Linked DNA regions of Drosophila melanogaster. The protein of the gene in region 2 purifies or fractionates together with the protein of the main gene of each other region. This does not show direct contact. Each region holds a gene or a part of one and is shown on either strand. Other genes may lie near its edges.

What was found. The genes of interacting proteins can lie anywhere in the genome.
Region 1: the proteins of CG17819 (region 2) and Jhbp7 purify together in Drosophila melanogaster (affinity purification with mass spectrometry, with the first as the bait; one large-scale study listed by BioGRID). This does not show direct contact.

The regions. Positions count from the first base shown.
Region 1 is NT_033777.3:25,235,479-25,239,235, reverse strand, and holds Jhbp7 (juvenile hormone binding protein 7), read right to left. Parts: upstream 1,623-3,757; 5' UTR 1,524-1,622; coding exon 1,457-1,523; intron 1,400-1,456; coding exon 1,162-1,399; intron 1,037-1,161; coding exon 791-1,036; intron 736-790; coding exon 534-735; 3' UTR 341-533; downstream 1-340.
Region 2 is NT_033777.3:21,884,107-21,887,422, forward strand, and holds CG17819 (uncharacterized protein), read right to left. Parts: upstream 1,445-3,316; 5' UTR 1,430-1,444; coding exon 1,289-1,429; intron 1,227-1,288; coding exon 1,092-1,226; intron 1,034-1,091; coding exon 797-1,033; intron 740-796; coding exon 692-739; 3' UTR 622-691; downstream 1-621. Other genes in the region: fit (female-specific independent of transformer), read right to left, coding at 1-325; dnd (dead end), read right to left, coding at 1,653-1,928, 1,987-2,118, 2,182-2,310, 3,034-3,036.

The sequences.
Region 1 (3,757 bases), 3.4 Mb from region 2:
CACAGGATGTAGGAGTAGTAGTAGGAGCATGCATCTTCGTCTTTTTTAAGACACAAAGTATTTGCTCATAATAATTAAGGTGTTTATTTCAATTTGTTGGATGTTTTAATACTTTAAGCGTATGTATAACTACGCTTTTATCCACAAGTATAGTCACCTTAGCAATAATGCCTTTGTCATGCAAATTTCGAATCAATCGTTCCATCACGTGAGCTGCCTGTTGATTGCTGATTGCTGGCCAAAAATGAAACAAAAAGTGTATGCGACACTTGTGCGGAAATAGTGAGATCCACGTTTTAGCTAACAATGGCCCCCCGCAGAAGCAGAACCAGTTTTTTTTCGAATGTTTTTGTTTATTCTACAAGTTAAAGCTTAGCTTAGCAGATACGATGATACGATGATGATGTGTCAATGGCCGGAATGCCGGAATGCAACGCCCCATGTGAGTGAGAATAGCTTGGATAGGTGAGGAAATACTCGTACACTTAGCCTAAAGTCCTAGGGCGCCTGATGGCGACTAGGACGACTAGTGCTCAGTTCTCGAGGAATAAATCCTCGTAGGCGAAGCGCTTGAAGAGCTGCGAGAGAACGCTCTTCATGATCTCGGCGATGGCCACATGAATGGAGGGATGCAGCTCGTTCCACACCTCCGTCCAGTTGTCGTTGAGGAACTGATTCAGATTGGTGCCCAATGCCTGGTCGCCATTAAAGAGGTTCTCCAGCCGAATGTTCATCCTGTGGGAACACAAATATGTTAGTATATCTCAGCTAAAATCCGAACTGCACCTACTTTTGTGGCTCCACCAGAACCTTGAGCTTATCCACGCTCAGGTAGGTGCGTCCATTGCGCTGCTGTGTGCCCGGCTTGAATTTCACCGAAAACTTGGGATTGTGCAACACGATCTCGGCATCGCCATCGCCACGAATCGGCAGGATCAGGATGCGTCCATCCGCCACGTACTTGCCCTTCAGCACGATCTTGGGAAAGGATCCGTACATCTCAAACTTGCTGGTTGCAGGATCAGCGCCAAAGCCACTGAAAAATACGATTATGATGGATAAGTGCAATCAACTTAATATATCTTCTTCTGTTAATAAACATGAGAACTTCTTCACTTTTGCTTAAGAAGGAAATCACTTTTCATTTCACTTGCTACTTACACGGCTCTGTCGAACTTCACACTGGACAGGCCCTCCACATTCACGTCCCTGAAGTTGAGCTTTAGATTCAGGGAGCCAGTGCGTCCGTCGGAGATGTCGAAGCGCTTGATCAGGAAGGGCTCCACCTGGGGGAATCCAGCGGACGGATAGCCGGTCCTCGCGTGCTGTCTGATCAGCATGTGCGACACGTTGATGATGCAGCTGGTGTCGCCCATGTGGCAGCGCGGCAGTTCGGGAGCTGCAAGGATAAGCTGGCGATTAGCGAAGCACTGGGATTGTTGGCCAAAGGACTCACGGAAATTCGAGGCACCGCTAACCAAGCAGCAGAAGAGGGCCACGCAGCCCAGCTGGAGCAGCATCATTCTGGATATGGATCTAGTTACGTACGAAATTCAAGCGCCCCGAAATTCAACCGCTCGACGATTTGGCGAATGCCCGACCAGGTTCAATGGCAAACTGTAAATCGGCTCTGGACAGACGGCGGCATTTATAAAATTTCTGATCGGCCAGAACGATGGAGCGGCAACAAATGTGGCCAACAACAACCAGTACACTTCATAGTTTATTCATTCCTGACTTGTCGCGTCTTGGCCCTTGTTTTTCTTGTTGTTGCTGCTGCTGCTGTTGTTGTTGTCTGTCTGATTGCTGGCTATTTTTATTTATATTTTTTTTTTATTTATTCGTATGTGTATATCTCTTTCGCTTCGTGTTATGGATTCTCCTCATCATCATAGACATCGCAGTCTTTATCTTTATCGCAGCTACCCCTAACCAGAATTGGCAGCAGCATTATTATTAATTAATATTATTAGCATGCAGCAACAAATAACAATAAACAATAACAATGGCAACGCGCACAAAAGGCAGCGAAACTCAAAATTTTAATGCTCAATCCAGTCAGTTTTCAAGCAATTAACCAATATATTTCCACTTATCCTGCAATGCATTATATATATATATAATTTAATTATACATATATAATTTGCACTATATTTCGGCATCTTGTGTACTTTTTATAGATTCAAACTCCGTGAAATGGAATCCGCGCTTTGTTCACACTTTTAATAAAGTGCAAATATCAATTCGTACTTATTGGCTTATGATATTATTCATCCCATATTTGCTTTGAGATCAGCACTTGGAATTGGGAACCTACCTCTGGGGGAATTCCTAAGTGTGCTAAATGGCCAGGCAATCTGAAAGGGAATGATAATGAATAGGTCATGGTTAAGGATCCACGATAAAAATCACTTAAGTTATGAAATTGTATTCCGACCAGAAGGAAGAATGCATCCCAAGGCTCCCAACTATGAAATTTCCGTTTTGGACATATGTACGAAGATAAATCTTTTTGTGGCCAACACAACTCAATTCCGACATAAACCAATTAGACATAGTCGGGCATTTTGGACGACATCAAACAGGTTCCAACGGCATCGATAATCGATAATGGATGGATCGACGGATAAAAGTTGCTCGGCGAGGTGGCTTCACTTTCAAAACTATTGGACAGGCGACGTTCGGAACGGGCCGAGTGAATTTAATTTGGCAAATTCTAGTTAAAGGCTCCTGGCGTTCGTCATCAGCAATTAGCATATACTACATATATACATATGTATATGTATATTTGGTGTGTGATTGGCATGAAACCGGCATTCTGTTTATTTACCCATCCAATTGGCGCCAGGTGAGTCCAAATATTTCACTTTTGTCCACTTTGATGTGTTTGCGCAGCCAATTCCTAGACGCTGTCGTAGACATCGAGATTACAACGGATTTTCGGGGGCGAAATATGGTAATATATGCAAACACGCTTTTATTTTATTACGTCGGGCTTGCCTGCAAATAATTTGGCATTTCAATTTTGAGTTGGTTGATTCATCTGCGCGTAAACATGATTTCGTTTTTCTTTGTAAACTCAGTAAATACGTTTAGTTTATAACTAGTTTAGCTACGTTGTAACGAAGTGGAAAGCTTATGAATGGCGGTTACTTTTCAATTTTTAATGAATTCACGATGAGTTTGGGAATTTTTGGTGGCATTCTGGTTTGATGTGGTTTAATCGTTCTGAATGGCATTAACTTTTTCTGGTTCTTAAATATTAATTTCAAGTCTGGAAATTTCTAGCAATGCTTGTTTTTCACAACAAACTAAGGTTTAAAAATATTAATATTTGTGTTCGTTAGGGATAAAAATTAATTTGTTAGCGAAATAATGTTTGAAATCATTTAAAGTTTCCAACTATTCCGGACTAAGAGCAAAAATTAACCATAAAAATTTTTACTTAATTTTTGTATTACTTATTTATATAAGATTTGGCTTGGAATGTCCAACAGCACAATCTAATAAATATAAAGAAAGATTATAAAGCATACATATAGTTTACACTTTTTCAATACTTTAATATATTCTATTGTTTATAACGAATTTATTGATTACAAATATTTTCAAATTTGAAATTGAATTGTAACCGCCTTTGACTGGTTCCGAATCGACTGGCTCTCCACGGAACATATCGCCACATGCGGTATAATCAATGCAGCTCCCTACGGTCATACTATTAACCACATCCACATCAGAAGTCTGAAATCTGATT
Region 2 (3,316 bases):
ACATGGTGTATCCAATCGAACGCCTAACGCAGTGCACGTCCATCTGGCCATCCAAGATGCACTGCCTCAACTGATTGACGGCGTAGTTCTCGATCCGTTTCTTGGTACTCTCGTTGTCAATTCGTTCCAGTCGCTTATCCACCTTGTGCATTAGAATGAATGCCTCTGGGAAGTGACCCACATCACAGGGCCAGTTGACAGAGTGCGGATGCGGGTGGCTTAGACTTGGACCTTGGGACGAGTTGTCCTCCTCAGACCAACGAATATTCCTGGCCTGCACCAAAGCCAGAGCCGAAAGAAGTAGAATCACCAGAGTTGAGTTCATTTCAACGATCGCTGTTAAACTGTGCCAGTCAATTCTATAACTAACCCTTTTATAGCCCCAAAAGCAACAACAACTAATAACTGATAATGCAAAAGGGCTTTGTCCTCACAATGTTGCTACTCAGCCACGAGTTTTTCAATTATTGACAGAGGTCAATGTCAAAAATCATTGATTAGCAAATGGCTGTATTAATGTATTAATTAAAAGAGTGTTTGCCGATCAGCAAACTAAATGAATCATTATTTGAGGCAAATAATTTCTATAATACAAGTGTAACAAACTATTGTTGCTAAATTACATTAAATATATATTTAATATATTAGTTAATAGGTTGCCAAATTTTTGAAAATATAAAAATGTGATAAATCACTTCCTGTTATTGTTGATCTTTTCGTTAATCCAATTTACGATCTCCTACCCAGATAGTATAAGTTAAATTATCAGATTTCGAATATAGAACACAACATATACCTGAACACCAGACCCTGTCCGCATGGAACATTCCTCAAAAGTCCAATCTCGACCAGTTAGGCGATATAGGCCCATCAAATCGATAACCGTGGACATGGACAGGGATCCCGAGGCGTCCTTCTTGTTGGACACGATCAGCAGCGGAGCATTATCCAGTTCCTGGTGCATCAAAACATCGCATAAAACACATCGCGCCTCGCTTAGCCGCAGTGCATCCGTGCTATCCAGTACAAAAATCTACGGTTCAGGGATTGTAGTCGAGTCTATATAAGTTCTATATAAGTTCTCCTCTCACCAAAACATTCACTTTCTTATAATACTTTGGCCAGATCTGGCGATTCTTCAGTTCTCCGTTAATATCCCACAACTGGACTCTGAAATTATTTATGGTGAAGCTCCATTCACTAACTTGATTGTTAGATTCCTTGGACTGCAAATAGTTTATGCTAACATTATCAAATGGAGATAGGACCATCACATATATGGCCTTACTTCTCCATTGAAAATTTCCGCCAGGCGGTCTGTCAACGTGGATTTTCCCGCATTGTCTAATCCTAAAATGAGCAGACATGATTTCTGAGAGCCTGCGGGCAGGATCTTTTTTATGAACGAAACAGGTCCGTAAAAACACATGGGGATCGAAATTTGATTTCAGTTTAGATGTCAGGTAAAAATGAATGATTTAACTAGCATAGCCTTCTCAACTATATATTCAGTTTATACTTAAAGATACACGTGAAAAAAGGAAGATTCATCCAACAATTAGAGATTGTGATACTTTTGGTGAGTTGAAATGTAGGTACGTATATTTAGTTCTTAGGGACAACTTAACAGGCGACGATTACTATAATTTAGATTACTTCTTCATATTCTTGCAGACCCAGTCCATTCCCTCCTTTAGTCCAGTGCCATCCACAGCGGTACAGGCCTTGATCTCCCAGGTTCGTCCCTGCAGTTGCACCAAGCTCATCTTCTCGGCCACCTCGGCGGCACTCATGGCATCCGGCATATCCTGTTTGTTAGCGAAAATCAGCACGGGAACTTGCTTCAACCGATTGTCCATGAGCATTTCGAATAGTTCACTACCCGCCTCGGGCAGGCGAGTCCGATCTGTACAGTCAATTACATAGATCTGAAATAATCGAAACTATTAGCTAACAGAATTGAGTTTAGATCTATAACAATCCTACCAGCACATCAGTATTCGCAAAATAGTTCTTCCAATATGGACGTATCTTCCATTGACCACCAATATCCCATACATTCAGTTTGAAACCATCGGCTGCCACGGACTTGATGTTAAATCCTGCCGTGGGCGTTACCTGCGGGATTTCACTCCGTATTTTATGGGGAAAACGGAAGAAGTTCGCCGCCTTTATACGCACCGTGGTTATGTCCTCCGATGCCAGCTGCTTCAGTATCGTGGTCTTGCCAGCATTATCCAATCCTAGGAGCAGGATGCGAGCCTCCTTTTCCGGATTGGGTCTCAGTTTACGCAACAGCGATAGCAGACCCTAAAATTTGTAAGCTATTAAGTTGTTGTTTTTTCTACTTAGTTTTTTGAAGGTGTGTTATTCTAGCACCTGATTACCAGTATTAGTCTAGACTCGGTAGTATCCTCTGGTCTATCTTTGAAATTTTGAATAACAATCTACATTTGGTAGTTTATAAACTTGTAAAATTGTTAATAAATATATGTGTTTTTATAAATGCAACATATGCTTGTAAACACACATGTTTTGTTATTATCAATGTTGTTATCAATAAAGACGATGTAAAGTTGTAAAAAAAAAACTTGCAATTAAAACGTTCTCTTAGTGATAGAATGCAAAAAGCTTATCAACAGGTGAACTTTACAAACATATTGTTGGAATTGAGATAAGGGCTCGCCAAAAGAAACGACAACAAGGTTGAATGAAATAAAAATGTTTATTGGTAAAAAAATTTGCCATGTTCACTTAAAAATTAAGAACTCTTTTTTCCATTGTGTGCTACAAAAAGCTTATTATGTTTCTTTGTTTTCCGAACCACCAATTTGGTTTTTTTTTTCGAATACCGATAATTACGCGCCTAAAACTTTCGAAGTAGTGCTGAAAAAAGTTCTGCTCTAACAAAAAAGTGTTGTATAGTTTTTGAGGCGGGTTTCCATGGCGACGATCGCAAAATGAAAACAAATCGTGCAATTACGGAACAACAAGGCACTTAATTAGCTGTTACGGAACCGGGAGACAACCTACCATCGTATAATTAACGCGAGAATAACAGCCAGGAGGCGGTGCGATCTCCGACCACTATATCCGTATCTGTATCCCCCCGATTCGGCAATCTGCTCTGGCCGCCCAAGACGGTGTCTTCTGGTGGTCAACTCAGGAAAAGTCGGATAACTTGAGAATTGGATCAACTTCAACCACCAAACACAACATCACTGGCTCGTCGCTGCACAACTACTGAAAACAAAATTCGCTCAACGCTCTAACAAATTCCGACAGCAACAACAACAGCGCCAACGGTCGCCGAGCA